Saccharomyces cerevisiae S288C: one gene and its partners. The gene in region 2 interacts genetically with the main gene of each other region. Each region holds a gene or a part of one and is shown on either strand. Other genes may lie near its edges. The genes, in order: IWR1, BUD27, EAF5 and SRO7.

Region 1 (7,332 bases), on a different chromosome or scaffold from region 2:
TCTTTTGGAAAACAATCAAGTAGGTACTGATGAACTGATTTTACCATTACCTTCACACGCGCTAACTGTACAAGAGGTGCTTAATAGAGTGGCTTCAAGGCATCCCTCAGAAAGTGAACATCCAATCAGAGTTTTAATGGCATCTGTCATACTAGATTCTTTGCCATCAGTTATTCATTCATCCGTGGAAATGTTGCTTGATGTCGTCAAGGGAACCGAAGCTAGTAACGATATTATAGATAAGCCTTATCTTCTGAGGATAGTTACACATTTAGCCATTTGCCTTGATATAATTAATCCAGGTTCTGTTGAAGAGGTTGATAAGTCCAAGCTCATTACTACGTATATCAGTCTTCTGAAATTGCAAGGCCTTTATGAAAATATTCCAATATATGCTACTTTCCTGAATGAGTCAGACTGCTTAGAGGCATGCTCTTTCATATTGTCTTCTTTAGAGGACCCCCAAGTAAGGAAAAAGCAAATTGAGACAATAAACTTTCTAAGATTACCTGCCTCAAATATTTTGAGAAGAACCACACAGCGTGTTTTCGATGAAACCGAACAAGAATATTCACCATCTAACGAAATTTCCATATCTTTCGATGTAAACAACATTGATATGCACTTAATATATGGCGTGGAATGGCTTATTGAAGGGAAGCTTTATGTGGACGCTGTCCACTCTATCATTGCCTTATCGAGGAGATTTTTGTTAAATGGCCGCGTAAAGGCTCTCGAACAATTTATGGAGAGAAATAATATTGGAGAAATATGCAAGAATTATGAATTAGAGAAAATAGCCGATAACATATCAAAGGATGAAAATGAAGATCAGTTTTTGGAAGAAATAACTCAATATGAGCATTTGATAAAGGGCATAAGAGAATATGAAGAATGGCAAAAATCCGTTAGCTTGTTAAGCTCTGAATCGAACATTCCTACTTTAATAGAGAAATTGCAAGGTTTTTCAAAGGATACATTTGAATTGATCAAGACATTTTTAGTAGATTTAACTTCCTCTAATTTCGCGGATTCGGCAGATTATGAAATCCTGTATGAGATTAGAGCCCTATATACTCCATTTCTACTGATGGAATTGCATAAAAAGTTAGTGGAAGCCGCAAAGTTGTTAAAGATCCCAAAATTTATTTCGGAAGCCCTGGCATTTACCTCATTGGTCGCTAATGAGAACGACAAGATTTATTTATTATTCCAATCTAGTGGAAAGTTAAAAGAGTATCTGGATCTCGTTGCTCGCACAGCAACCCTTTCGAACTGATCAATTAATGTATTGCAGAATAAGTTTATATTTTAAGTAAACAGCAATAATTTTATGCATTTCTTCTATCTATTTCAGAAGTAATTGACGTGATTTTTTATAGTTTTGCTTTGAATCTTTGTGTTTCCACACCGGAGAAAAAAAAGTTCATGAAGTGAAAAAGCGGTTAAACATGAATTTTCTACTATCTAAAGATAAAATTACAGATGCAGTTACTTACATACATTGAACAGTTTCTGACGGCAAATTTAGCTTCTATTAATTTTTTTCTGTAGCTGATGAAAAATTCTGTCCCTATGATGCGCCAATGGGTCATCAACATCCGTCGGAAAAAATTCATTTCTAGGGTATTCAATATCATCTCCTTCATCAGAATCATCTTCGTTATCACTTATCTCTATTTCACCTTCTTGGCCATCCAAGTCAATGAAATTCGAGGAATTTATGGATTTCAAGACATCACTTTTTCCTCCAAGCCTGTTAAAAAGATCCCCGTACTCTTCCTCCACATCGTGGTACCCATTAGATCCCTGAATTTTATCGTCATTCCAAGAGGAAAACCTGCTCTTATTAACCCCTATAACAATCTCTTCACCCAATGCAGCTATATCCTCTCCTTCGCTACCAAATAGAATAGATCTATCATCATCTTCATCCTCCGGATAATCATTTTGGTAATAGTTTTCGTCATTAGAATCCTCATCGTCTGAACGGGCTTCATTGGGATCACTTTCTTCATCAAGAGCCAAATCTATATGCTCAATAATTTTCACAAACCCTATATTTTTCTCGTTGTTATATCTAGCAACCTCATCGTCATGAATTTTCTCCAAATGGTAGATGTCAAAAACGTAATCTAAACTGGGTAGTGATGCAATTTTTGCAGAATCCCCAGTAAAATATTTCCTACTTGGTTTTTTTCTTTCTGTCTTTTCTACACCTTTATTCAACTTTAAATAGTCATTCACCATTTGATTGATCTCTGGCGGTAACCCATCGTCATCTACAGTACTTCCTTCTGCTGCAAGCCGCTGTTGTGATTTTTCATCATCTGAGTCTCTACGACTTTTTTTTCTTTGTTCCAATACAAAATGTCGATGATCTTCATGAGCCAGTTTTAAGAGTGGCGTAGAAGACTCTTGCTCGGATTGATAGCTTTCAGAGCTCACAGTCTTTGATAATTTAAATATGAACTTCTGCTTCTTCACTCTTTTCCCCTCATCAATTACTGAATTGTCCCAGATGAACTTAGTTAGTCAAACGCATTTTTGTTATATCGGTAGAATAACAACACATACATAATGCCTGCACAGAATCCTCATCCCTTCTTCTCTTTACTCTGATAAACTCAGGTGCCGTTGTGGTACTAATAGTGCTCATTCCCGAAATCTTGTATGCCTACCTCAACAAAAGCTATACCTCAGAGAGCAGTTTTATATACCATCTCTTGTTCTCATCAATAACTTGTCTTGAGCATTACACAATTTAAATCCCCTGTGCCGACACAAACAAGAGATAACCCGGAATCAATATTATCTGATTGGGCTCCTAAATATCGCATCTGTGGACTTGAATCCACATGCTGCGAACTTATTTGAAGCAACAATTACTTCTGTTGGAAGCGTGGTAGTGCCAAATCAGACTTGCTCTTTAGTTTTCTTATGTTAACGCTTTACTGCCTTTTTCTTCTATATTTTTGAACGTCAATATGTAGCGGGCGTCAGCAGAGGAACAGAATTTGTGACACTTCTTGAATGAACATTTCTCATATCTGAAACCGCATCATCAAAAGGACACCTCAATAGAGATTCAGTGACATATTTAACATAGTTTTATGGGTAAGAAATATTATTAATTATGGTACGCAAGAATAAAATAAATAGAGCGAGTGGAACTACAAAACACCTCAAGGATTTTCCATCAGTCATCCTAAGTCTGCCCAGCTACAACCCTTCCATCCTTTCTAAAAATGCAACTGCACTAATAACCGGTGGTTCTAGTGGACTCGGATTTGAACTTGCAAAGGAACTTTCCAGAAGAATTAATAAAGTTATTGTGGCAGATATTCAATCATTTCCTACTTTTGCTCAGGTAGAATATAATAACATTTTCTACTATCAATGCGACATAACAAGTCTAGATGAAATTAAAAATTTGAAAAAAGCTATTGAAAGAGATCATGGCAACATTAATATAATTATAAATAATGCTGGTGTTGCTCACATCAAAAAGTTAGAACATATGACAAACAAGGAGGTAGAACAATTGATCGACATAAACTTAATAGGTGCTTACCGAATCATCAGTACATTTGCAGAAGATATGATAGACAATAGGGAAGGCTTTATAATTAACATTGCTTCAGTCCTCGGAGAACTGACTCCTGCAAGGCTGACATCGTATGGTGCATCAAAAGGAGCAATGATTGGTTTTCACAAGTGTATGAGCAGGCATTTCAGAAGTTTGTCCACGGAATGTAATAAAACTGGAATAAAAACACTACTGGTGTGCCCGGGAAAAATCAAAACTAATATGTTTATTGATGTCCCTACACCATCTAAGTTATTGGCTCCTGACATCATACCTTCCCAACTGGCACTAGCGATAATCTCTGCGATGGAGCATAATCATCTGCAAACACTAAATGCCCCATATTATGTGAACCTAGTTCCCTTTTTCAAAACTTTGAGTTGGCCATATAGGCATCTCTTAAAACATTTCAGTGGAATGGACCATGTAACGTCAACCAGCCCGCGAGCAATAAATCCGAAGAGAAGTGCATAATATTTTAGTCTATTTAATACATTTGACGTTATTTGATCTTCACGTTGTTTATATATATATATATCAAGTATGCTATAACGCTAAAAAAAAATGCTCATAATACTATGCAAAATCTTGATGTCTTTTGACTTCTTTCCAAATTTCTAAATTTTGACGGGCATAATTTCTCATATATCTGGAATAATGCTTTAAAATTTCTGATAAATCTACTTCCCTTTCTTTAGAAAATTTAGGTAGCTGGTCATTTTTGATGACTTTTGAAATGACCTCCAAATCATTCTCAGTAACTTCCAATGATTCAGACAGTTGTTCAATTTCTTTCTTCAAATTGATACTTGCGGTATGCGGATCTGTTTCTTGATACTTCACAGAATCTTTTACCATTGATGCCAATTTGTTAAATCCATTGAATAGTTTGCCACCATATGATTTCCCACCGCTACCTGTATTATTATTAGGGCGTTCCAGATTAATAGTATGACTTTTAGACATTTCGTTGTCAATTATTTTGTCAACATCCTTATATTCATTGTTTTGCGCTTCCAGCTTCTCCAACTGTGCTCTTTTGGAATTCAGAGACTTTTTAATCATTTCATTTTGCAGGTATTTCAATTTTCTGTATTTGATCAATTCTCTTGCAGAAGTTGCCATATGAACAGATTCATTTAAAGGCTCATTTATATTGTAGTATAGTCTTCCAACTAATTTTTCTAAAGAAATCGAGGACCCCGAAAAGGCATTGCTTAAGTAAGAAAGCTGTTCGGCCAATTCCCCAACTTGAGCCTGTTCATGGGCAAACTGTGCAAATACCTCACCGATTTCATTGTAATCCGATTTCAAATCGTGATAAGTCTTCGTGGTTCGTCTATTATACTTATAAATCCCGTTATCTAACAAGTTCTCATATTGCTTGTAATCCTGTTCAATATTAGTAAACGACTTACTTCTTTCCTTATCCATTTTTTTGTCGTTGGACTCCTTATTCAACAATAACTGTGACGAGGAGCCCGGTATTGGTAACATGGCATGAATTCTAGTGGTGTTAGTGGGATCTAGTGGATTACACTGGAGGATGCTCTTCGGTAAAGATGAAAAAGTGGACGAACTGTTAACAAATTCATGCCAATTATGGTTATTAGGATCCAAAAAATCGGTAATTATAGATGTTTTTGTGATTTCTTCGTTCGTCAAAAGTTTGTTCAAGAACTCAGTGAGCATTCTTATCCTATGCCGTATTAACTTTTCATCACTATTATTGACCGACGCATGTATCACAGACAATGATAGATCTACTGAACCAGAACCTTCTGAGGGCAGCAAATACTTTGAACTCGAACCAGTTATTGACTTACCATAATTCTTTATTGACTGCTTTTCTGGAATCGGCGGTATCAACGTCATAGGAAACAATCTTATCAAGATACTTCTCAAACTCTCGAAATCGCTGTAACGTCTCTGAACGGTAGAATTTTCAAACTGAATAACATAGGCGATGTAGGCTCTTCCTTGACCTTCGGAAACTCTTTTCGCTTCAAGTATGTGTATCCTAGCGGACTTCTTTCTATTACTTACAGAAGGTTCTTCTGACGCAGAGGTCTCTCCGTTCATGGAGTTAATACTTCCACTAAGACTTGTTCTACATGTTTCTGCATTCGATTCTTGGTTTAAAGGCAATAATCCCTCAGAGTCATCCTCGTAATCTTCATTCGGGTTCTTTAGGTTATGGCTTCTCATACCGGGTATTTCTAATAAAGCTGATTTTGTGAATCCTGTTGGCCCCTCCTCCATGAATGGGTTGTCTTTTTCTAACAGGGCTGTGTGTACTAACTCAGTTTCTACTTTGTTATTGTCCCCCTTTCCAACCTTACCCTTTTTTGGGCTCTTTTTTGGCGATCCAACTCCATTCTTAGAAATTTCTGCCTCTGCCACATACTCAGTTGTCCCATGAGGTGGTTCAGCCTTTCCTGTATTCCGAGTTTCCGAATTCAATTTAGCATTTTCTTGGACATCATTTAAGTCTGACATTGTGTGCTGTAGAAGACAACTTTTCTAGATGGTATGTTCAATTGCACCACCAGTATTCGAGCTAGTCATCTCTTCATTTTGGAGATGACTTGCTGTAAATCGATAAATATTGGCTTACTCAATAGCCATATCTTAAAGGGGGCACAATGGGTGAGTTGTCGGGTAAGGGAATGTAGATCACGTGAATGAAAATTCAAGTGTTTTTCGAAAAGTTTCACCATGGCGATGAGCAAGATTGAAACAGCACTATTGTAACTATATAATTGCTAGTAAGCAAATAAGCCAAGCCTTATTAAAATCCGGTGAAAAGAATTGTTTAACGAACGTTACAAACTCTATACCTTTTTTTTACCAGCAAAATGGTTGGAGGTGCTCTCATCTGCAAATATTTACCACGCGAAGAGCAACTAAAGCTTATATCAGACTTGATTCAGAATGACAGCTTAGAAGAGGTGCTGGAGTTGATTGAAACTTCGCCACTGGATATAACGACGGACAGCAACATTGAAACACCAATCTTTGAAAAAATTACTGAGCAGGTCATTGCGTATGCTAGTATAGACGGTGAAGCCAGGGAAATGTTTCGCTCTTCGAGGGCTGAAATGAACAAGGCGCTAAGAACTTCTGCACAATTACTATGTTGTTTACCCAGTGTATGGCATAAATTTCAGGTGTGGATGAGCTACCGGTTAAATGACATCATTAGCGAAAACTATAAACATCTCTTCAATGACAACTTTGGAAAAAAGATTGTACAACCATTTTTCGATTCTTTTGCTGAGGAACAAAACGCTAATATCAAGCATGAAAATCTGCACTTAGATATCCTTAGCCTGCTTCACTACTTAGAAGTTGTATATTTATTTGACGAATGTAAGAATGGTATATCGTCCAAATGCCTAGATTTTATCATTGTTCCATTGTTAGGCTGTAATTCGGAAGAGATTGCTGATTCCTGCTCCAAGTTAATGAGATGGCATATCAAATATTTATCGAAATGCTGCAATACCGATAGTAACTTTGATAAGCTCATTTGGACATTTATCAAACAATTGTACGCTGAAGGCTCCCAACAAGCTTGGAAGCAAAAGAACAGTTTATCTTTTCTCCTAAGATTCCTTTTAGCAGCAGAGTTGTCTCCTGAACTTATTACTTATATAAAGACCGATGCTTATTGGAGGCACATTCAAACAGAGCTGGATAATGATGTGCACGAACACAGAAAATTGGCACTCTCAATTCTT
Region 2 (8,838 bases):
CGCAATGATTTGTTATCTTATCTTATCTTATCTTCTCCCTTATCAGCCCGTTGTTCCTGCTTTGTTGACGTTGGGCACTGGGTGCAAGCACACCTGTTATCGGCCGGACCAATCAGTCATGCACCCACACACCGGACTGCGTATAGAAGATCCGGGTTGCTGGTTGAAGTTGGATTACCGCGAAATGAGAGCTAGCAGACGGGAAAAGGAGGTATTACGTTGTGCAGAGACAGGGTTGTGTGAGGACACCGTAATACTGATGGATGCATCTATAATGAAATAGGGTAGGTTTTTCAAAAAAAAAAAAATATTTTTGCACCACGTAGAACTCAGAAGTATTGGGCAAGCTAGGTTTTGATTATGGCGCCAAGTACGTCTTCGCCGGCTAAAATCGGAAAGCGGGACCGGTCGCATTTGGCCATAAGTTAGGTGACCCGGCTTTGGTATCGTTTTATCAGGGGTTTACCCGGTCGACCATATTGAATCAAACAAAGAAAAGAGGCAGGAAAAACAGAAAAAAAAAATTTTTCTGTTTTTCTCTACCTCTTTTCTTTTCAGTAAACTTTGTTCCTCTCTACGTGAAAAATGCTTGAAAAATTAATAAAACGCATTGCTGTAATCTTGAACGTACGCAGTACTTGTGGTTAATGCACATGTAAAGTTGTGAATACATTTCCATATATATACATATATATATATATCTTACGTATATATACATTAAAGGCACCCCCCTCCCTCTCTCACCCCCTAACGTAAAGATGTCTGACTTCCAATTAGAAATTCTAAAAAAACTAGATGAATTGGATGAGATCAAGTCCACACTGGCAACTTTCCCTCAGCACGGCTCTCAAGATGTTCTTTCCGCTTTGAACTCTTTGAAAGCCCACAACAAGTTAGAGTTTTCCAAGGTCGACACGGTTACGTATGACTTGACCAAAGAAGGTGCTCAAATTTTGAATGAAGGTTCGTACGAAATTAAACTAGTCAAGCTCATCCAAGAGTTGGGTCAACTTCAAATCAAAGATGTGATGTCCAAACTGGGTCCTCAAGTTGGTAAGGTCGGTCAGGCTAGAGCTTTCAAGAACGGCTGGATCGCCAAAAACGCCTCAAACGAGCTTGAACTCTCCGCAAAATTGCAAAATACCGATTTAAATGAGCTTACTGATGAAACGCAATCTATTCTAGCGCAAATCAAGAACAACTCGCATCTGGATAGCATTGACGCCAAGATTTTGAACGACTTGAAGAAAAGAAAGTTAATTGCTCAAGGTAAAATCACAGATTTCAACGTTACCAAAGGGCCAGAGTTCTCGACCGACCTCACCAAATTGGAAACCGATCTTACCTCCGACATGGTCTCCACCAATGCATACAAGGACTTGAAGTTCAAGCCTTACAATTTCAATTCTCAAGGTGTGCAAATATCTTCAGGTGCTCTTCACCCCTTAAACAAAGTCAGAGAGGAATTTAGACAAATTTTCTTTTCCATGGGATTCACAGAGATGCCCTCGAACCAATACGTCGAGACAGGTTTCTGGAACTTCGATGCCCTTTACGTCCCACAACAGCATCCTGCTCGTGACCTGCAAGACACTTTCTACATCAAGGACCCACTAACCGCTGACTTGCCCGATGACAAGACATACATGGACAATATCAAAGCCGTTCACGAACAGGGGAGATTCGGGTCCATCGGTTATCGTTACAACTGGAAGCCAGAAGAATGTCAAAAATTGGTCTTGAGAACTCACTCCACAGCCATCTCTGCCAGAATGCTGCACGATTTGGCCAAAGATCCAAAGCCCACCAGATTGTTTTCTATCGACCGTGTTTTCCGTAACGAAGCAGTTGACGCCACCCATTTGGCCGAATTCCACCAGGTGGAAGGTGTTCTTGCCGACTACAACATTACTCTGGGTGACCTGATCAAGTTCATGGAAGAGTTTTTCGAAAGAATGGGTGTCACCGGTTTGAGATTCAAGCCTACCTACAATCCTTACACCGAGCCATCAATGGAAATCTTTTCTTGGCACGAAGGTTTGCAAAAATGGGTCGAAATCGGTAACTCTGGTATGTTCAGACCAGAAATGCTCGAGTCCATGGGTCTACCAAAGGATCTAAGAGTCCTTGGTTGGGGGTTATCCTTGGAAAGACCTACCATGATCAAATATAAGGTTCAAAACATCAGAGAACTGTTAGGTCATAAAGTCTCTTTGGACTTTATCGAAACCAATCCTGCTGCTAGATTGGACGAAGACTTGTACGAATAAGCTCAGCAGTTCCTCTAGTTTTATATCGTCTGTCCCCAATTTTGTAGTAGTTATTGTACACAAAACAAATATATACGTATATGTTAATATAGATTCTGATTTACTTTCTGTCTCCATATGGGTTATGGTTTACTGTCCATATGGAGCCGTTGAGAGCGGAAACGACTTGTCTTGACCGGGTTCCCGAACTTATCAATAGGCTCCAATTCGCCTTCAGTGTGTGCGGCGGGTGATGATGATTGCCATTTCGACGCGGTAGCTTCTTTCAACCGTCTGTACTCTATAGCAACCTCTTCCTGTAGCCGGCCCGGATGTAGTGCTACTTCGTCCTCGTCATTTGTGTAACTTTCAGGAAATTCATGCTCAATGATATCATTCATAACATTGCCATCATTTTCCTCCTCCTCCATCGTCACTGGCTTGTTTTCTAGTTGAAAGTCTCGAATTTCGTCACGCAGCAACTCCACCTGCTTATTGTATTCTTTGAAATCCTCGAGCTTTTCCACTATGGTTCCTGGATCTTCCTCTAAATCGTCGTCATATAACCCCAATGAATATGCCTTGACCATATCATCCAAGTTTCCACCTAGGGCGTGATAATCGACATTTGTAATTCTAACCGGCTCACTCCCTACTGTGGCGCCCGTCTTAGCCATCGACCTAGACACCTCTTGGATTTTTGAAGGAAATTTATCTTGCTCATCAGTGTTATTTTTACTTTTGTTGGACAAAAGTTTCTTATTACCATCGTCATCATCATCATAATCGTCATCACTTATATTTTCGAGAATTTTGGGATCAAATTTTTTTTTCATTGATTTCGATGATCTTGGTTTTTGCAGTGATTTTAGCTTTTTCTTTTTAAAAGGAGTCTCAAACTCGCTCTTGCTGTTAATTTCCGGTTCTTTTTCCACTATATCGTTGATAGTAGGTTCTTTTTCTATAATATCCCCCACAACAGGCTTCCTTTCCACTATATCGTTGACAGCAGGCTCCCTTTCCACTATATCGGTGACAGCAGGCTCTTTTTCTATAACATCCCCCACAACAGGTTCTTTTTCTATAACATCCCCCACAACAGGTTCTTTTTCTATAATATCCCCCACAACAGGCTCTTTTTCCACTACCTCGTTCTCCACTGACCTTGTCGTTTCCTGTTTGAAAGTTGATAACGTATTTTCTTTTTTAGAAGCTCTATCCTTCCGGAATCTGGACACCCTAGTTCTTCTATTCGACCTGCTTGCTTCCCCTTCAAGTCTCTCTTGATTTATCAGTTCCTCTTTATATTTTTCATGCACTTCATCGGCCTCTTGGACACCCAACATCTTAGCAAATAAATCACCATCAAACTCATCCGATGTCATTTTATTAGCGATACCTGTGCTTTCCTGGGTTTCATACATGGGCACCGCAAAGGATTGCATCTGCCTCTTGTTCTCTTCTTTCAAGTTTTCGACTTCGTGAATTTCTAGAGAAGATGCAAACCCGACTTGTTTCTTTTTCTGCTTTTTGTCTGAATTCTCAGCAAAAGAAGACTTTTTCAAAATAGGTTTTAATGATTTATTAACGTCACCTTCTTCCCTCTCATGATCTTGGGATTGCTTTTGTGCGCGTAGGCGTTGAATTTGTTGTAAAAATGAGGACTGCGCTTCAAAGCCAGGTATAATAGAATGATTTAGATACTCTTCTTCATCTTCGTCCTCGTCATCCTCTTCATAGTTATCATTGACTTTGAAATTGGAGTTTTCGAACGCATCATAATCATAATTTATTTCATCAGTTTCAATATAGCCGTCCTCCAATTCATCTTGTTGGTCCATCTGTTGGACCAAGTCGGCAAATGTATACACGTTTTCTGTATCTACTTTAGATGGCTGCACTTTTTTCTTTACTTCATCGTTCCTTTTCAATAACTTTCCTTTCAAGTTTTCTTCGAATGACTTTGATTTCTTCTCCTTTGCTAATCCTTTCTCCTTTGGACCGACTGCAGGTGTCTGTTCTTTTTTGGAATTCGATTGTGATGGTTGCTTTGTTGTAGGGGTAACGGAACTACTTATGACATTTCCCTCGTCATCTAGTTCTTCTCTAATCTCCATAGAGGGCAGAAAATCTTCGTCGTTGTTCGCTTCGTCTTCTTCAATTCCATTTCCGTCCTCCATGTGATTCAAGTTGTCTAAGGTCTTTTTAGCCTCTTCGATCTTCAGGTTAAATTGCTCAATGGCGTCCTCCATTAGTTTTAATTTATCATCAACAAACGTGATGGCCTCCTCTTTGGTCTTTTCAACGTAATACTCATAGCCTAGACTTAGATATATCTTACTCGTAGAAATTATGATATCACCAAACACCATCCCTTGGCCTTCGCCTTCTTCTTCGCCATCATCATTGTCATTGATAAATCTAACCAGTCGGCTTCTGATATCTATATAGTGCTCTCTTTGTTCCGAAAGAAAGTTTCTCTTATCTTGCAGATTTTTCAACGTACTTTCTACGCTGGCCGCTAACAAATCCATGGCTATTACAGTCTGAGGATACCTGTTTACTATAAAATTCTACAGAATATTCATACAACACTCTCTGTTAAAACCTTTAAGAGCAGCTCATCGCCTATCCTCCAAGGATAAATTTCAAAACACCCAAACATTAGGGTTACCCGTATATCGCTACTTCTTCCCATACTCGCTCACCATAGTTAGCACCCCATACCGCAGGAGTAAGCGAGAAACAAAGGGATAGAGGAAAAAAATTTTCTCCGTCGGCCGCGGGTGGCAAAAGCACGATCCGACCACAAAATTGTACTATTACATATCACATGGTATAGCATACAAGCAATACCTGTGAGAGGTTACTACACAAAAGCAAAAAAGTTTGCAAAAATCAGCCAAAACTGTGCTCGTATTCTGGTGGTCATTAGACACTCGCAATATTATTACACCACATCGCGTTCCTCTGAGCTGCTATAATAAAATAAACGCTATCTATTTTTGACTCCTCTTTTTGCCACCCTCGCCTTCCTTTTGTCCATATTCTCACATTGTACGGCAACTGCGGACTTCAGGTCAACATAAATAAAAATTGCACACGATAGGGTAACATTATAGTCACGTGCTTATAAAAACATTGTAATAACATTAGCAAATAACGATAATAACGATGCCGACACCTTCAAACGCTATAGAGATCAATGACGGTTCGCATAAATCTGGTAGAAGCACTAGGCGGTCTGGATCTAGGAGTGCGCACGATGACGGTCTAGATTCATTCTCAAAAGGCGATTCAGGTGCTGGAGCCAGTGCTGGTAGCAGTAATAGTCGATTTAGACATCGAAAAATATCTGTGAAGCAACATCTTAAGATATATCTGCCTAACGATCTGAAACACCTGGATAAAGATGAATTGCAACAGAGAGAGGTGGTTGAGATCGAAACTGGTGTAGAAAAAAATGAAGAAAAGGAGGTCCATTTGCATCGAATATTACAAATGGGTTCTGGTCATACAAAGCACAAAGACTATATTCCGACCCCGGATGCTTCTATGACTTGGAATGAATATGATAAGTTTTATACGGGCAGTTTCCAGGAGACCACCAGCTACATCAAATTTTCTGCCACTGTGGAGGATTGCTGTGGTACCAACTACAATATGGATGAAAGAGATGAGACCTTTTTAAATGAACAAGTCAACAAAGGTTCATCAGACATTTTAACTGAAGACGAATTTGAAATACTTTGTTCCAGTTTTGAACATGCTATTCACGAGCGTCAACCATTCTTGAGTATGGATCCGGAAAGTATACTTTCTTTTGAAGAATTGAAGCCCACATTAATAAAATCAGATATGGCTGATTTCAATCTAAGAAACCAGCTGAATCATGAAATAAATTCTCATAAAACACATTTTATCACACAATTCGACCCCGTATCTCAAATGAATACGAGACCTTTAATTCAGCTGATAGAGAAGTTCGGCTCTAAAATTTATGATTATTGGAGAGAAAGAAAAATTGAAGTTAACGGGTACGAAATTTTTCCGCAGCTGAAATTTGAAAGGCCGGGTGAAAAAGAAGAGATTGATCCCTACGTCTGTTTCAGAAGAAGAGAAGTGAGACATCCGCGGAAAACAAGACGTATAGATATCTTAAACAGTCAGCGTTTAAGGGCGTTGCATCAAGAATTGAAAAACGCGAAGGACTTGGCCCTGCTTGTTGCTAAACGTGAGAACGTTTCCCTAAATTGGATTAATGATGAATTAAAAATATTCGATCAAAGGGTAAAAATTAAGAATTTGAAAAGATCTTTGAACATTAGTGGAGAAGACGATGACTTGATTAACCACAAGAGAAAACGCCCCACGATTGTTACGGTCGAACAAAGGGAAGCTGAACTAAGGAAAGCTGAACTTAAGAGAGCAGCTGCTGCAGCAGCGGCAGCGAAGGCAAAGAACAATAAAAGGAATAACCAACTTGAAGACAAATCTTCTAGGCTCACCAAGCAGCAACAGCAGCAACTGTTACAGCAACAACAACAACAACAGCAAAATGCCCTTAAGACTGAAAACGGAAAGCAACTCGCGAATGCATCCTCTTCTTCAACATCACAGCCAATTACGTCTCATGTTTATGTCAAACTACCATCTTCCAAAATTCCTGACATTGTATTGGAAGACGTGGATGCTCTATTGAACAGCAAAGAAAAAAATGCAAGAAAGTTCGTTCAGGAAAAGATGGAGAAACGGAAAATTGAAGACGCAGATGTCTTTTTCAACTTAACGGACGATCCCTTTAATCCTGTATTTGACATGTCGTTGCCTAAAAATTTTTCGACTAGTAATGTTCCCTTTGCATCTATCGCGTCATCCAAGTTTCAGATAGATAGATCTTTTTATTCTTCACATTTACCAGAATACTTGAAGGGGATATCTGATGACATCAGAATATATGATTCAAATGGCCGTTCGAGAAACAAAGATAATTACAACTTGGATACCAAAAGAATCAAAAAAACTGAACTGTACGACCCATTCCAAGAAAATTTGGAAATTCATTCGAGAGAGTATCCAATAAAATTCAGGAAGAGAGTTGGTAGATCTAATATTAAGTATGTTGATCGTATGCCAAATTTTACAACATCGTCGACCAAGTCTGCATGTTCTTTAATGGATTTTGTAGATTTCGATTCAATCGAAAAAGAACAATATTCAAGAGAAGGTAGTAACGATACTGACTCGATTAATGTTTACGATTCCAAATACGACGAATTTGTCAGACTTTACGACAAGTGGAAGTATGATTCTCCACAAAATGAATATGGGATCAAGTTTTCAGATGAACCGGCAAGACTTAACCAGATTTCAAATGATACTCAGGTGATTAGATTCGGAACAATGTTGGGTACGAAGTCCTACGAACAATTAAGGGAAGCCACCATAAAGTATCGTAGGGACTATATCACCAGACTGAAACAAAAGCATATACAACATTTACAACAGCAACAACAACAGCAGCAGCAGCAACAGCAGCAAGCACAACAACAAAAGCAGAAATCACAGAACAATAATTCAAATTCTTCGAACTCCCTAAAAAAATTAAATGATTCGTTAATCAATTCAGAAGCGAAACAGAACTCTTCTATAACCCAGAAAAATTCATCATGAGCAGCACAACTTTGTACCTCTCGAACATCTTTCTACGCATTGGCATTTAACAAACCTGACATTCAAAGTTTACTACGAAAGTCGAGGCAACATTACTGAAGATTCAAATCACCGAAATGAACACCGATAACGCAATAATAATGAAAAAAAACAAAAAACAAAAAAAGATAACTACAATAAATTTCAAAAGAAAAATAGCAAGTATCATCCGGCTGTAATATTATCACCTTCACAAGACTACATATTTTTAACGTTTTTTTTAATTTCCATTTCACACGGTTGTGACCTTTTGATTTTTCGCATGATTTCATCCCAAATGCTTGATGTATTTAAGTTAGATTCATACTCTTATATAGACAATTGCATAACTCACTAGGTACCCTCAAATAAATGCATTTCTTCTTATTATCCATTTTTTTTTCCTGTATGGCGCGAATTTTGAAAAAGGTCTAAATATACCAACCAAGTCATAACAAGAAAAAGTAAAAATGAGTCTCAACACATTCCTTGCAGTTCCATCTGATAGTAAATTCACACTCGAAATACTCCCTCTACTTTAAAGCATTGGCCTATATCTTAGGCTTACCATCATACAAAAATCTTCATTTCGTTATGGGTATCAGGAGATTAGTTAGTGTTATAACGCGGCCCATAATTAATAAAGTTAACTCATCTGGTCAATACTCGAGAGTACTCGCTACGCGTGAAGACCAGGATAAAGCTTCCCCCAAATATATGAACAATGATAAGATAGCAAAAAAACCTTACACATATCGCCTTTTCTCTATTCTTGGCATTTTAAGCATTTGCTCGCTTTTATTGATATCGCTACTGAAACCTTTTAATGGTGCAGATGCTCCTCAGTGTGAATCTATCTATATGTTTCCATCTTACGCAAGGATCGATGGATTTGACG
Region 3 (7,013 bases), on a different chromosome or scaffold from region 2:
AGTAGTAAATACACACTTCGCGGCTTACGTACGCGTGTGTATACGTATGTAAGAAAATATACTATAATACGTATAGAGTGAGGAGACAACTAACCATGGAGAATACTAGAGGTACCATACCAAGGGAACGGTTCACTGTACAGAGTTGTGTCCATAGTTGGTTAACACATCGAAAAGAATGGAAATCTATGTTTTTATTATTACAAGTTTTGAAGATTGCCAAAGAAATCAAGAATTTCGTGAGATTGAAAGTCATCGGGTCCAACTCGATGTTCAGGTCGTAGCGGATGAAGTTGATGTAGTATGACACTAACGTTGGAATACCCCTAAAGAAGAGCAGCCACGTGAGTATTGGTAAACAGAAATCGAGCGTGTATTGATATTTATTATGGGCGGCAACGGCGGCTTCCAGCGACGATGCGAGCGAAGAAGAAGAAGTTGGCTGCCCGGCGGCTAATATGTTTCTCACCAGAAAAGAGAATTCCAACAAGGAAAAAATCGTATCGACGGCGGAAATAGTGGAAAGATAGTCCTGAACATTTTCATTCAATTTCTGCGTTTGGTATCTAATATCGGAGAGGTATTCCTGAAAGTTAAACTTGAACTTAGTAAACGCAGAGGTGGACGAGTCGTTATCTGTGCTAAAATCCAACAAATTGAAGTTCGTTTTGGCGTTTGAATTTGCATTCCTGCTGGAAAGCGGCTTTGTCGCGCTTGTTTCATCGCCTGATTGCGGTTTCTCATCATCATCCTCCTTGATGTACGCTTTCTCCAGATCGGAATCATTTGTGGCGGTGTCACAGGATCCAGACCCAGACCCGTTTCCAGATCCGGATCCGTATTCGTTCCGTTCATCCTTTGACTGGTCCACTGTCATCGACTCATAAAAGGACCTTAGTTCCGGGTAGTCGTCTTTAAAATCCACAGGTTTCTCAAGATGATTCAAGTGCGATTCGAGGTAATCGATCATATCACTCTTCTTGGCATAATTGGGGAAGCCGTCAATTTCCAGCTTGTTGGCCAGGTCAATTAGGTCCGCCTTCTTCCAGCGACTAAAAGTTGACTTGGTCGGCATATTGTATTATAATGATCTGTGATGGGCTGTAATGCACTTTCACTTTTGTTTTCTCCCCTTGTATATAGATATTTTCGCACGTTGTTTACGTATTGTGTAGTTCTTTTTGTTATGAGTGACGAATGCACGCAAGTAGCGCGCAGGAAATTATCATCATATACGTATATCATCATATACGATTTACCACTTTTAGCACATTAACAGCTCGGGAAAGAGTTTCGGAACTCGGAAAAAGCACGACAAACGAGGGCGAGCCACTAAATTACCGCAATCCTACGACCACAGCAGCCCGGGCCCTCTCCAAAACCGCGCTCTAGCCCGCTCTGCTTACTCCCTGTGCAGCGCCGCCCGCGGTAGCACTGGCCAACACCCTGACGCAACTCGTCACCACGCTGTTGAGCTGTTTTCGAAATCCGTCCGCAGCCCTCCCTAGCTTTTGCATCAAAAAAAACCTCTCGCTATTTTTCCGGCGCGGATACTTAATTTCCTTAACGAATTACAGAACTTTTTTCTCTCTTTCTCTTCCACACCTTTTGGTTTAAATAAACAGTGAAAAAAACTAAAATTCCGTAATCACAACTCAATTTCCTTTCCTTCCTCTTGGTTAATATAAAATCAATTCTTCTTCCCTTCCAGTTTTTTCTCTTTCGTCCTTCCTTCTTCCTTTCTCTTTTTCTCCATCGTATACATACAAAACAATAAATAGTACAATAACAATTATACAAAGATGTTGATGAGCACGTTACCAGGTGGTGTTATCTTAGTTTTTATTCTAGTCGGTTTGGCTTGTATCGCCATCATTTCTACCATTATCTACAGAAAATGGCAAGCTAGACAAAGAGGTTTACAAAGATTCTAAGCGATCACTAGCAAGCCAAACGAGCTTGATGTTGTTTTCTCTTAGTTATCCTCTTTTTTTTTTTTTTTTCAATTACTGAATATTAATGAATAAATTAGACCTCTTTTCTCCCCAACCCTTTTAATTTCTAATAATTAATTAATTTTTCCTGTGTGTGTGCTATATTCCTACTTTGTATCTGTGCTGTTCGATTCCTCTGTTGGAACGATGTGATTTGCGTGGGCGTTTTATCGCAAAAAAGTTTTGGGCATGCGGGCGTGAATGGATGTTGTTTGCCGTGTGTGGGCAAATACACCCTGCTCTTCGTTTTGTTTGTCCCGTTCTTTCCCATTTTTACCTACCTACTATGTTTTTTTTTGAGAAACATGTCGCTTCATTTGTTATATATTGTTCTGTTAAAGAATTGTGTGTGTATTTTTTTAATAAAATAGTATATAATAGTAATGTTACAAGACTTTAGATTTTCGAAGTGTCGCCTACTATCTCCTTACTCTAGTGCTCTTCTCATGAACTGCACCGTATCATCCAATTCAAACTGCACTTGTCTAGCCAATTTCCAGTCGTCCGTACCAATGACCTTTCGCATTACACCGTCCGTTATGCTCTTTTGAAGAATCAGCTGCAGTTCATGAACGCTGCCGGGCGTTTCGTTCTTTATGTCTTCGTAATTTATCTCATTCTTGATAATGCTACCATCGGGACTCTTGAATAGCTTCTGAAAATTCCCAGTTTTACTTTCCAATTTATTCAGAACGGTATCTCTGTATAATTTCAATAGTTTTTCTCTTTTTGGGTCCATTGAATGCGCCATGTGTGGCGTAGTCGTAGTTATAGTAGCACTGGTACCAGCAGATCCACTTTTGCCAGCATTTGCATGTGGTTGCAGTTGCGATGCACCGGTCTTTATACCGTTCTTCAATATCTCATCCTCCATCATCCTTATTTGTTCGACCTGCGTTTTCTTGAATCGATCGTACTTTTCGTCAAGGAGCTTCTCGATATCATGCATTTCCAAACCGTGTAGACTAAGTTGTCCATCGTTTAGTGTTGTTCTGTACTCTGGGAATAAATTCTTAACTATGGTCAGGATATCGTTGATGCCCAGTTTCCTGTTTCCATTTGCCACGTTGCTTTGCCTTCTTAAATTTGTCAGCTCGTTGATTAGCAAATTGTTTTGTATTTCGTTAGTCAACTTGACTAGCGATATTCGAAGATTATTCCCAATCATGTTGATTCCTCCCCCGTTCCTAACCAGTTCTTCATTCTTGTTGGAAATTAAAGTGTGTATTAGCTGCAACACTACCAATTCACTTACCTCTTTATCCATCTATGCGTTCCTTTGATTCTGGTTACTCCGGCACGCAGAAGTATCTTTTTACCAGTGCTTCTCTGGTTATTTTCTTCCTCTTTTCCTGTGTAGAAAAAAACTTGCTAAAATAATCGTGTCAGTTAAAGAAACCAAGGCAAGACTATATAAAAAAAGAATAACTTTAAAAATGGCCTTGAACGATAATCCTATACCCAAGTCAGTTCCTCTACACCCAAAATCAGGTAAGTACTTCCATAATTTACATGCCCGAGACTTATCAAATATATATCAACAATGCTACAAACAAATTGATGAGACCATAAATCAATTAGTGGATTCTACATCTCCTTCCACCATCGGCATTGAAGAGCAGGTCGCAGATATTACTAGCACCTACAAACTCCTCTCGACATACGAATCGGAATCCAACTCATTTGACGAACATATTAAAGATTTAAAAAAAAATTTCAAACAATCCTCAGATGCCTGTCCGCAAATCGACCTTTCTACCTGGGATAAATATCGTACCGGAGAACTCACCGCTCCCAAATTATCTGAATTATATCTAAATATGCCCACACCAGAGCCTGCAACCATGGTTAATAACACAGATACACTCAAGATACTAAAAGTGTTGCCGTACATATGGAATGATCCAACTTGTGTAATACCGGATCTGCAAAACCCCGCAGACGAAGACGATCTACAAATAGAAGGTGGTAAAATTGAATTGACTTGTCCTATCACCTGCAAACCTTACGAAGCACCATTGATATCAAGAAAATGTAATCACGTCTTCGATAGAGACGGCATTCAAAACTATTTACAAGGATACACGACAAGAGATTGCCCGCAAGCAGCGTGTTCTCAAGTCGTTTCAATGAGGGATTTTGTAAGAGACCCTATTATGGAACTAAGGTGTAAGATCGCCAAGATGAAAGAATCTCAGGAACAGGATAAAAGAAGTAGTCAAGCCATCGATGTTTTATGAAAACAAAATTATTGTTTCTCTTATCCGAGCCCTTCGGCCCGAAGTTCAAGCAAAGCTAACTAAAGAAAAAAGTTGGAAATTTACAAAAGGTTGGTATATAACCACATTATATATAAAGGAAAAAAAAGGCATTGGTTACTTTTATGTGATAAGAAGAATATACTCTCTACATTCAAACCGTCACAACCATCCATCAATATGACCACGACCGCTACCCAACACTTCGCTCAACTTTTACAAAAATATGGCATCGACACAGTCTTTGGAATTGTGGGCATCCCTATTGTCCAACTAGCGGATACGATGGTTGCCAACGGTATCAAATTCATTCCATGCAGGAACGAACAGGCTGCCTCATATGCAGCCTCTGCTTATGGTTATATTAGTGATAAGCCCGGCGTGTTACTTATTGTCGGGGGCCCCGGTTTAATCCACGCACTGGCTGGTATATACAACTCAATGAGTAATAGGTGGCCTCTTCTAGTAATTGCAGGGAGTTCTTCTCAAAGTGATATACATAAAGGCGGGTTTCAAGAGTTGGATCAAGTTAGTCTTTTGTCCCCATTTTTGAAGTTTACCGGAAAGTTAACCCCTGACAATATTGACATGATTACTCAGAAGGCTTTGAATTACTGTATACAAGGCACTGCAGGGGTTTCTTACATAGACGTCCCTGCAGATTTTATTGAGTATGAAAAACCCTTAGAAGGAAACGACCGTACAGGAAATGAATTACCGATGATATTAACTCCAAACATATGTGGCCCTGATCCGTCGAAGATCAAAAAAGTCGTACAGCTTATTTTGCAACATAAAAATAAAAATATTCTGATTGTTATTGGAAAGGGTGCGGTAAAAAACTCACACGAAATCCGCAGACTAGTAAATACGTTCAATCTACCATTTTTACCCACCCCAATGGCTAAGGGAATTGTCCCAGACTCTTCTCCACTGAACGTTTCATCTGCAAGATCTCAAGCATTGAAAATAGCGGATATTGTTCTTGTTCTCGGGGCAAGATTAAACTGGATATTGCATTTTGGTACTTCACCCAAATGGAACTCAGAATCCATATTCATCCAGTTCGATTCCAATCCCGAAACCTTGGGGGATAACAATGTCTCACCTGGTGCTGACCTTTCCATATGGGGAGATATAGGCTTGAGCGTAACCGCTTTAGTTGAGGAATTGACTCGCCAAGATTCCTGCTGGAAGTATAGTGGTGTTAAGCAAGAAATACGAGAGAAAATTCAACTGAATCAAACTCGTCTATTGAGGAAAGAGAAGACTAGAGGGGCACAATTGAATTACAACCAGGTTTATGGAACATTGAGGCCTCTTATCGATGATTACAGGACAATACTTGTGACGGAGGGAGCAAATACTATGGATATTGCGCGTATTTCATTCCCTACAGACGCTCCAAGGCGCCGTTTAGACGCAGGGACCAACGCGACTATGGGGATTGGGCTCGGATATGCTCTTGCATGCAAGGCATCTCATCCGGAACTCGATGTGGTGCTGATTCAGGGTGATTCCGCATTTGGATTCTCTGCCATGGAAATTGAAACGGCAGTAAGGTGTCAGCTGGCATTGGTCATCGTTGTGATGAACAATAGCGGTATTTACCATGGAGAAAAGGATATAGAGGGTGATTTACCTCCAACGGCACTAAGCAAGAACTGCCGTTACGATCTCGTAGGCAAAGGACTGGGTGCCAATGATTTTTTTGTCAACACAATAAGCGAACTGAGCAGATGCTTCCAACAAGCCGTGCAGCTTTCTCGGACTAAAAGAGAAACAAGTGTCATCAACGTTATCATTGAGCCTGGCGAACAAAAGCAAATTGCCTTTGCCTGGCAGAATAAACCGCGTTTATAGTAAATATGCATGTATATATATATATATATATATATATATGTTCATCTCTCTTATAGATGTCAATCTAAATACTTACAACACACATTAATGAATACCTCGTATACGTTTAAGGGCAAATGTACTCTCGCAGAAGGAAATATTGCAAGTAACTTGGATAACTAAAGCCGAGTTAAAGATCTGCCAATTGAACATAACATGGTAGTTACATATACTAGTAATATGGTTCGGCACACATTAAAAGTATAAAAACTATCTGAATTACGAATTACATATATTGGTCATAAAAATCAATCAATCATCGTGTGTTTTATATGTCTCTTATCTAAGTATAAGAATATCCATAGTTAATATTCACTTACGCTACCTTTTAACCTGTAATCATTGTCAACAGGATATGTTAACGACCCACATTGATAAACGCTAGTATTTCTTTTTCCTCTTCTTATTGGCCGGCTGTCTCTATACTCCCCTATAGTCTGTTTCTTTTCGTTTCGATTGTTTTACGTTTGAGGCCTCGTGGCGCACATGGTACGCTGTGGTGCTCGCGGCTGGGAACGAAACTCTGGGAGCTGCGATTGGCAGTGGAACAGTGGTAATTCCTACGATTAAGAAACCTGTTTACAGAAGGATCCCCACCTATGGGCGGGTTATCAGATATTATCAGGTGGGAAATTCGGTGGAACACAGTGGAGCCTTGTCCTCCGGGTTAATGTCGCTTTTGGCATTGGCCCCTGCTCCTGAGAGAAGAAATATACTGGGGAACCAGTCTTTACCGACCGTTGTTATCAGAAATTCACGGAGTTCGGCCTAGGTCGGACTCCGATGGGAACGGCAACGGTTGTTCCGTTTGACTTGTCGCCCGCTACGGCGTGAGCGTCAAGGTCTGTTGAGTGCAATC
Region 4 (9,677 bases), on a different chromosome or scaffold from region 2:
ATTCGTTTCCGTGTAAGGCGATAATTTTTTTGTTTGAAATTTTTTATCAAGTTTTTTTTTTTCTTCAATTCTAACCAGCTCGAAGATGACTTATGGCCTTGATCGACCGGGCTTTTAAATGAGTCTTACGGCCCAATGTGTTACTTTAGAATAGTTCCTTTCTGCTCGTCTCTTGCTTAATGCTTAGTAGATCACTAAATAAAGTAGTCACATCTATAAAGTCGTCTTCGATAATCAGGATGTCATCCGCTACCGCTGCTGCTACTTCTGCTCCTACTGCTAATGCTGCTAATGCTCTAAAAGCTTCAAAGGCTCCAAAGAAAGGTAAACTACAAGTGTCTTTGAAAACACCTAAGGGTACGAAGGATTGGGCTGATAGTGATATGGTTATCAGAGAAGCCATTTTTAGCACTTTATCTGGCCTATTCAAGAAGCATGGTGGTGTCACTATCGACACACCTGTTTTCGAGTTAAGAGAAATTTTAGCAGGCAAGTATGGTGAGGACTCCAAACTGATCTACAACTTGGAGGACCAGGGTGGTGAATTATGTTCTTTACGTTACGATTTGACCGTTCCTTTTGCCAGGTACGTTGCCATGAACAATATTCAGAGTATCAAGAGGTATCACATTGCAAAAGTCTACAGAAGAGACCAACCAGCCATGACTAAGGGTCGTATGAGAGAATTTTACCAGTGTGATTTTGACGTTGCAGGCACATTCGAATCTATGGTTCCTGATTCCGAATGTTTGTCCATTTTAGTGGAAGGTTTGACCAGTTTGGGAATCAAAGATTTCAAAATCAAATTGAATCACAGGAAGATTCTTGATGGGATCTTCCAAATCGCTGGTGTTAAAGATGAGGATGTGAGGAAAATCTCTTCTGCTGTCGATAAGTTGGACAAATCTCCATGGGAAGCAGTCAAGAAGGAAATGACCGAAGAAAAAGGTCAATCCGAAGAAACTGCTGATAAAATCGGTGAGTATGTTAAATTAAATGGTTCTTTGAAGGAAATTCACGCTGTTCTATCCGCAGATGCCAACATTACTTCAAACGAAAAGGCTAAACAAGGTTTGGATGATATTGCTACTTTGATGAAGTATACCGAAGCATTTGACATTGACTCATTCATCTCTTTTGATCTTTCTCTTGCAAGAGGTTTGGATTACTATACAGGTTTGATCTATGAAGTTGTTACTTCTGCATCTGCTCCACCAGAGAATGCTTCAGAATTGAAGAAGAAGGCCAAATCTGCAGAAGACGCGTCAGAATTCGTTGGTGTCGGCTCTATTGCAGCCGGTGGTCGATATGATAATTTGGTCAACATGTTCTCTGAAGCTTCCGGCAAAAAATCTACTCAAATTCCATGTGTTGGTATTTCATTTGGTGTTGAAAGAATATTTTCTTTGATCAAACAAAGAATTAATTCCTCTACAACTATAAAGCCAACGGCTACACAGGTGTTCGTTATGGCTTTTGGTGGTGGTAAGGACTGGACTGGTTATTTACCCGAAAGAATGAAGGTTACTAAGCAATTATGGGATGCTGGCATTGAAGCTGAATATGTCTATAAGGCCAAGGCTAATCCTAGGAAGCAATTCGATGCTGCTGAAAAAGCGGGTTGTCACATTGCCGTAATCCTCGGTAAGGAGGAGTACTTAGAAGGTAAATTACGTGTCAAAAGATTGGGCCAAGAATTTGCCGATGATGATGGTGAATTGGTTAGTGCGGCTGACATTGTTCCTATTGTTCAAGAAAAGTTATCACAAATTCATGAAGATGGTCTAAATGAGGTCACTCGTTTAATTAAAGGATTATAAACTTGATAGCTCATGTATTTACAAACCTTCGTAAAACTAGACATGTATAATGAAAAATAAATCGATTCAAATTAATTTATAAAGCATATAGAACTAAAAAAAAATAAGTATAGAAGGAAGTTGCTCATTACCCTGTATGAATTAGTGTATGTATTTAAAAACCAAGGGCACCTTTCATTACATCTTTTCCAGTCTGCTCAACAGCCTCGTTCATTGTTTCTCCCATGGCGGTAGCATAGTCGTTGAATCTATCTTCAACGGCGTCCCATCTAGTTTCTACAGCTCGAGAAACATTTCTTAGTACCCCGTAACTACTGTTCCTGCCCTTACGGGTGGGCTTGGTATACTGGTGTTCCGGATGGTTCGCATTATTATCGTCTGAAGAACGCTCCGAGAAACTTCCCTCAGCAATGATGCTCTCTTTGTATTTGGATGCAGGTCTATTCACGCCACCCAATAATTCATTTAATTGAGCGGGAGTACAATATACAGTGCCTCTTGCCCACTGTAATGAATTTACTTGTGGCCTATAGGGAATCCTGATTCCATTGATGTACAGTGTGTCAGAAACTGGCGCTAGCGTATCCTGTTCCTTGACAGTAGAAAATAGTGACGCCTGAAATTCACTCACTCGAATCGCTATATCACCATTTCTTAAAACAGATGATTCTGTAATGTATTTTGCGGCAATTGGAAATGGAATATGTTCAGACATTTGTTCTTTGAAATCTGGAATAGTAAAAACTCTTAGATGGCCATTGATTTCTAATGTAATTATTACGGTTAGGTTCTTCCTATCATTATTTTTCTCAACGGTTGAGATGTAAGATAAACCTGTCGCGGCAAGCGGGTATTTGAAACCTTTATGTGTACTTTTAGATTTGCCCAGTGTTATTAATCTGATATCATCGAATCCAGTTATTAATACAATACCAGGAATGCAAAGGCCTTTACTTAAATTCTGCATTTTTGGAATAGTTGCCAAGCAGCTAGATTTTGTTTCCTTTGAAAATGCATCAATTTTGTGTATCGGACCCTTACTGGTAACATTAGTAATATCCATTAGTTGCACATCGAACTTTCCACCTGATGCAGGAAGAATTTTGTATGTGATTACCTCGCCCATATCAGTACCACAGACCATCAATATACTAGAGTAACCATCGTCTCCATACTCCATAATTACGAATTCGATGCAGGTAACACATGCGCTTTGAGCTCCCGAGATTTCTCTAATGTTTTCCATGTAAATGATTGCAGGACCTCTTCTATCGATCAACATAAGGCTTCCGGCAGCATATGCGATTCCAACAAATCCAATATTACTGTTGTTGATTGCAGATGTTTTCCCTTTGTTGGCATGCACGGCAGTTGATGGCATAAATCCCTGCCTAACACCGGTAGGTGCCCTGTCTCTCACATCGACGAGAACACCATTCGTATTATTCAAAGAAAACCGCCTGAAATTCATCTCCAGGTCACCGCTTTCTGGTCTGTTCTCAACACTGTAAAACTGGTTTACTTCATATTTGAATAAAACAACGTCTCCTGTTTCAATTGACACCGCCAACTCGAGAGTCTCTGCGGCAAAAGATATCTTATCAACTGCTAGTTCTTTGGCCTTGTTCAACGTTCTTGATAGATTCACTTCAAAGCTAGCATTATCTTGTATATCCCCATGGGAAGCATCGTATATCCTAACTGAGCCATTAGAATGGCCGGTAATGAATGCTGTACCGTACTCAGCGGGAAGTTTTTGCCTTTTTGTTCTAACCCCTCCCTTCAACAAATAATCCTTGTTTTGAGCTGCAGAAAGCGCACCAAGCCATAATTTGTTTGGTACAGAAGCGGCCATTGAAGTCGTGGCTAATGGTCTCAGCCAGGAAAGATTTTGAGGGAATAAAGAGGCTTTATCTGTAAATATTCCAGAAGGATATAGCATTGTTTCTATCTCACCGTTACCTAGGATTAACAAAATTAACCCCGGATTATGACATCCTGCAAAATACGGGGACTGTCTTGGAATTGGTAGTATATTCACTATTGGCACATTGGTTGGTAAGGGAAATATCTTCATTTGTTTCGGATTTGCATAGTAGTTCTTCATACCTTCATAAGAGGTTATTGAATATCTAGGTGTGTAACCGAGGTCGATCATAGTGAGACTTTGATTATCTCCTCTGCTGATTGACTTATGAGAGATGAGTAGTGAAGTATATTCTGGATTGTTTTCACACATCCAATACACTTTCGAAATTTTGGCAGCATTAGTACTAGAATCGCGTATGTAATCAGGTTGTGGAACATTGATTTCTGTCTCAAACACTGTCCTTGCCATGATCATATGGCCTGAATTAGCATCCCAGAAAACCAAGGAATTGTCTTCATGAATAGTGATAATGTGCAGTGAATTAGGGTGATATAAGGACTGAATAACTTTGGGAGTTCTCTTTTCATTGGTTTTTTCTGAGAAGTCGCCTCCTGGAGCAAAAGGTGGTAATTCGTATATGAAGGATTGTTTGATTTCGTTCTCAACCAATGAGTATGTTAGAGTTACATACTCATATGATATTAAAACAGTTCCAATATCTCTAGGGTTCCACTGAATGGATACTATAGGTGATAGTCTTGCAGCCGGAAAAAATGAGCTTTTTTGTAGGTTGTCTAATTTGAAGGAGGAAAGTTGATCCCTATCTATGTCGTAAACTATCATTGAACCATTTTGAAGGCCGATTAGCATCCAGTCTAAGGATGCATCTGTGTCAATTGATGTTATTTTCCCCGGAACAAACACTGTTGTAAGTACTTTTTGAGAATATAACGATAAAACATACACAGTATCTTTTGCGTTAATGACCACCAAATAGATACCTTTCACAAATCTCATTTCTTTTATAGCAGATCTATCCTCCAGTTTTATAACCACTTCCACTTGTTGCTGGCCATAAATATGGACTTCCCCTGTGACTGTAGCAATTGCCAATAAATTTTGGGTGAAATCGAAAGCGGCTGCGATCGGTTTACTGCTCATCCCATATTTGTTGGTTTCTGCTAGTGAAAAAATTTTATTTTTGTTATTTGAACTTATAGGAATCTTCAAAGAAGAGGAAGATTTCGCATCTTTGGAAATAGTAGATGTCTTTGAATTTTTGGATTTAAAAGACGCCTTTGAGTTCTCAATGGGTGTCTCTGAATTTTGGCCTTTTAGGGACTTAAATGCTTCCTTAACATTTTTCAGACGTTTGCTACCGAACATTTTGTTTTGCTCTTATGTGTATAGAGAATTAGTCAGAAATAGTATTGCTTGCTCTTCTTGTTTTATATTTAACATATTCCAAGATTTAAATTCTAACGTGATTAGGTTCATTTCGTTTGAATTTTCATTTTTTACTTTTAACAAAAGCGCCGAACAGGATTCTAGAAATTAAACAAAACCAACTAAACTATAAAAACGGATATTTAGTTCGGTATTGAAATGCTAAAGAATAAAGAAAAGACGACCTTTCTAAGTTATTTTTACTAAGTGTTCCATGAAAGTAAATAATAAGCCAAACTTTTACAAGAATAGCATAAAAATACATACTCATTATACATAATGCAATATTAAAACCTTTATTTTATCCGCTGTTAAGGATTAGCTTCAGCATACGGTGTTCCCCTGCACTCAGTTCTTCTGCATCGCTTAAACCTTCTTCTTCCATAATCACCGGGCCACTCCATGGTCTTTCTTCTATCTTGTCATCATTTATTATAAAATCTCTGGATAGCAACTTCTTAATATCTACATGTTCTATGAGCCCAATTAAATTTGTTACTTGCTCTTTTGCCTTTGATGAGACAGTTTGGAGTATTCTTGATGCACCGGGTAGAGTTTCCAAAACCTCAAAAAAATGCATAATTTCCTCCTTAAAAATTTGGACAGTATCAAAATCACAATGTTTACACTTTTCTAAAATAACCAATAATTTAGGTTCAGTAACCAATCTTTCAAGAGCCTTGAATTGTTCAGATTTTATAAAGATATCCAGTACATTGATTTTTAAAAGATATTTTTGGGGCGATTTAACTATATCAAAAACCTTCTTTCGGGATCTGGACAAGCTGTTTGAAGCTTGTGTTCTCTTTTTCACCAAAGTAGTCAGCTCTTTGAGCCGGTACAAGTCTTCGAGCTGATCATTGGCAAAATCTATTCTTGTTTGCACTTGTTCCTCGGTTAAGGACCCCAATGAATTATTTTCAAAACAGGCAGTTAATGGGGTACCTCCTGTAAGCTCCCTTTTCATTGACCAATATTTGCAAATATCAAATGCGCCTGCTGGTGGGTTAGCTAAGCCAAAAAAATCAACGACCTTTTGCAATATTTCAGCAAAAACATGTGGTGCTACCGGCGTTTGATTAGGTGTTTTCCAAATTGTTTTGTTGAATTTTGAATTTGTCCTATCATTAGCTTCATTATGCTGAGGAGTTTCGGTTTGTAATGTAGAGAGTAGAGAGAAGTATTTTCTAGCTTTATTAATACCTTCTATACTCGTTTGCCATCCTCTAGGTGCATGCTTGTGGCAGAAACTTTCGACTGAATACTTTTGGGAGAATTGATTAGAGGCCAATTCTTGAATAGTGCATTTCCCTTTACTCATGTAGAGACCAGCTCGACGGGCACACGTGACATGATATGCTGTAAAACAGTTTCTTTGAAAGCACTGAATGCAAGCACCCATCTTCTTTTTACAGATGTAGCAGTTAAGTTTCCATCGTGATACGCTAACATTTTGAACGCCTTCTATAGGTTCCATATAATGTAAGTTTGAAAAGTATAGCTCTGGAAGCCATAGAGCACAAATGTTATGTACCCAAGAACCGGTGTCTGTTTGTTTGAATGCACCTGTATGACTTGGACACATTAGACAAGTGGCAAAGTTATTTTTTGAGATCATACATCGTCTACATAACCATTTTCCTTCCGGGATAAAAATTATACCGTAACATTCTTGATGCACAGCAATATCGCATCCATCACAAAAGACAATTGTATTCAGATTGTCACTGTCTGTGCCTAAACAAACTGCACACGCCTGGTCCATCGATAAACCTGTTCCATCATCAGAACCATATAGCTCATAATTCTTACAGTCCCTTAGAATATTATGCCTAGCAATCAGACTATTCGTTGAGGGTATATGTTTTTCAATATGGAACCATTCAGTTTCTAGTGTAGTCATTAAAATTTCAAATATTTCGTGAGACATTTGATCTTTAAAATACCTCTTATTAAGGTAGTGCAAATATAATTCATCCTGTTCATCCATGTCATACTGAGGCTTGAAATTAACAAGATTGGGTGAAATACTAGCGAATTTCTGAATTGCACTCTTTGTACTCGTCGAAATAGTAATATTCGGGGCTTCTTTACTAGAGAATTTGGTGAAGTAGGGTGCCTCCACACCATCGAATTCTTTTTGTTGTTGTTTATAACTCTTCCTATTTCTTACTTTGTTTATATGATAGTACCTGGATATAAAGCTCTCATTAAATCTAACGCAGTATGGATTTTTCTTACCTTTTAACTCATTCGTAGTTATTTTACATTTTTGAAATTCCACTTCGTTCTTCTTCAGTACTAGTGGTTCAGTGGTGACTCTCCCCTTGAAAATCAATTCTTTAGTTTGTACGCTTTTGACACTCCCGATCTCTCTGTTATTCCGATTTGAAATATCATCTGAGTCAGTATCGGTGCTGTTATCCTTTGTTTCCACTAAGGGAACGATGAACGGCAGTAAAGTATCGGCATTAAGATCAGGATAAAAATCTTGGAAGTGCTTTTCTTCACGTAGTTTAGGCCCATCATCTAATGATCCCCTATTCATTAGGTGCTAAGTCGTACAACGCCCTTGTCAAAGTTATTTGAATAAAAAAACCTAATACGTTGAAAAACTGCACGGCTTTCAAACTTTCAAACTTGTTTATTATTATCGTCTTCCATTTTTTTCGGTGCTACAATTTGCGATGAGCCGAAAGACATATATTCTACGTATATTACACGAAAAAAAAAGTTAGTTCGGACAGGTACATATTTGTACAAATGTATATATATATGTGTGTGTGAGGTTTATAAAAAAAGTGAAGATATTAATATTTATGATGAAATCTCGTCATATCTTGGTGGTTCAGGACCCGGATGAATTATTGGACCAGGCCCCTCTGTATCATTATCATTATTATCATTATCATTATAATTGTAGTCGGTATTGGTAAAAGTGCGCGGACTATACCGTGGTGTGAATATATTATTGTTAAAGTTCATTGTGACAATGTCTCTTTTAAATAGCGTGGCCGCGGTCTCCTGTTCAAAGATATCCTGCGAAAGCAAACCGTCCATATTGCTATAGGCGTTATTTTCATTCCCCATTTGTAGCGCATAATCTTCAGTCCTCAAGGGGCGTGCTTGTTGCTCTTGCTGGTCCCGGATTGGGGCACCGTTAGACGAGTCCGAAACAGCGGTTGTTTTTGGATGTAAGGTTGACAGGTAACCATTTGCGAGGGAAGTCGACCTAGACAAATTCAACTGTTGCATGGAAATGTCATCGGGATAATAAGATACAGAAGATCTTGGTGATGCTGAAACTGATGTTGCCTCTTCAAAAGTTGGTGGCAGGACTTTAGAAGATTCAGTGGTGGCCATGTCATAAGTCGGTAAGTCTATATTTGAAGTGTTACAAAGGTCAGAAATCAAATAAATTGGTGTATCAACAATTACTTCATAATGCCTTATGATTTTTGAGCTACCACTATCAGTTTTGCTAACCCTCAAGACGATTTCTAATTTATGAGAACATTGGATATTCTTAAAATGCATACTGTCCAAATATAAACCGCGTCTTGGTTTATTCAACCGTGTGTAGTGCTGAATGGGAACATTCGAGCTAGTTTGCAAAGATGTATTCGAGTTTCCATTTGTATCATTGACCTCATTATGATTCTTGTCTTGCGGTATTTTATGAACTGTCTTGGAAGCCCTGTTAGGGCGACCCACTAGAAAGCCCAATACATTGCCGTTATTAGAGGTGTTCTCACTCTGAGTTGGATCTTTTATTGGGTCGAAAAGATCGATACCATATGGTGGTAGACTTGCAGCTTTGGTAGCGTCCACTTCACAATATTTTGGAAATTTTAACTTCGTTTTAACAGTAAAGGACTCAGAAAATGGGATATCTTTGTTGTTTTCTTTTGATGAAGTGTAGGCTAATAAGTTATCATCAACTGTATTGGTGACAACTTCCTCTCTAATAGAAGGCCCACTAGTACATTTAGAGGCCACCTCAAATAGAGGCAAGCTTCTGTCCTTCTTTTTTCTCACTAAATATCTCATATGATAGGGATTGCAAGGATCTGAAGCCAATGGATCCAACTGGTCAAAATCATATTGATAGTCTTTACTCCTGTAGGAGATTTTTTCTCTACAACTAACACGAATTCTCTTGACACTAAGACTTTTTACTAGAGGTGCCACTTTAATTGTGATTGGAATTTCACCATTCAAGGGCACATACTTTTGGGCGAATGAAATTTCATAAGAAAGACAATTCTCCCAAACCTTGTTAATGTAAAGTGGCTTATTTGCTGTAGTGACAGAGATTTCTGGCGGAGTTCTCACCAAATTAAGCGGGTACTGTAAATTTATAGTGTCTTCAGAATCATGTTGCATCGCTAAACCACTAGAAGATGCGCCATTATTATCTGACCTTCCGTTAGAATTATTCCTTTTTAAGCGCCCCTTCGCACTTTTTAACCATGAGGAGGGAAATGCGATTTTTCCAGTAGAATTTTTGTCGTTATTGTAGGTTTCTCCTTCTATGGTGT

Evidence for each region.
Region 1: mutations in BUD27 (region 2) and IWR1 together harm fitness more than expected from each alone (negative genetic interaction), as found in Saccharomyces cerevisiae (2 studies listed by BioGRID).
Region 3: mutations in BUD27 (region 2) and EAF5 together harm fitness more than expected from each alone (negative genetic interaction), as found in Saccharomyces cerevisiae (3 studies listed by BioGRID, with this or other methods).
Region 4: mutations in BUD27 (region 2) and SRO7 together harm fitness more than expected from each alone (negative genetic interaction), as found in Saccharomyces cerevisiae (3 studies listed by BioGRID).

Annotation. Positions count from the first base shown.
Region 1 is NC_001136.10:252,468-259,799, forward strand, and holds IWR1 (Iwr1p), read right to left. Parts: upstream 2,660-7,332; coding exon 2,578-2,659; intron 2,508-2,577; coding exon 1,528-2,507; downstream 1-1,527. Other genes in the region: NUP84 (Nup84p), read left to right, coding at 1-1,279; YDL114W (short-chain dehydrogenase/reductase), read left to right, coding at 3,137-4,063; ATG20 (Atg20p), read right to left, coding at 4,166-6,088; TRM3 (tRNA (guanosine(18)-2'-O)-methyltransferase), read left to right, coding at 6,448-7,332. UniProt on the Saccharomyces cerevisiae protein: Directs RNA polymerase II nuclear import. Binds RNA polymerase II in the active center cleft between the two largest subunits in the cytoplasm.
Region 2 is NC_001138.5:86,931-95,768, reverse strand, and holds BUD27 (prefoldin-like protein), read right to left. Parts: upstream 4,784-8,838; coding exon 2,393-4,783; downstream 1-2,392. Other genes in the region: FRS2 (phenylalanine--tRNA ligase subunit alpha), read left to right, coding at 759-2,270; EPL1 (Epl1p), read left to right, coding at 5,424-7,922; BST1 (Bst1p), read left to right, coding at 8,535-8,838. UniProt on the Saccharomyces cerevisiae protein: Involved in gene expression controlled by TOR kinase and nutrient signaling. May also be involved in positioning the proximal bud pole signal.
Region 3 is NC_001137.3:117,719-124,731, reverse strand, and holds EAF5 (Eaf5p), read right to left. Parts: upstream 3,262-7,013; coding exon 2,422-3,261; downstream 1-2,421. Other genes in the region: GTT3 (Gtt3p), read right to left, coding at 62-1,075; PMP2 (proteolipid ATPase), read left to right, coding at 1,803-1,934; SUMO ligase MMS21, read left to right, coding at 3,431-4,234; PXP1 (putative indolepyruvate decarboxylase family protein), read left to right, coding at 4,433-6,115. UniProt on the Saccharomyces cerevisiae protein: Component of the NuA4 histone acetyltransferase complex which is involved in transcriptional activation of selected genes principally by acetylation of nucleosomal histone H4 and H2A. The NuA4 complex is also involved in DNA repair.
Region 4 is NC_001148.4:629,522-639,198, reverse strand, and holds SRO7 (Rab GTPase-binding protein SRO7), read right to left. Parts: upstream 5,077-9,677; coding exon 1,975-5,076; downstream 1-1,974. Other genes in the region: HTS1 (histidine--tRNA ligase), read left to right, coding at 180-1,820; NTO1 (Nto1p), read right to left, coding at 5,438-7,684; CSR2 (Csr2p), read right to left, coding at 7,954-9,677. UniProt on the Saccharomyces cerevisiae protein: Acts as an allosteric regulator of polarized exocytosis by promoting the targeted fusion of vesicles with the plasma membrane.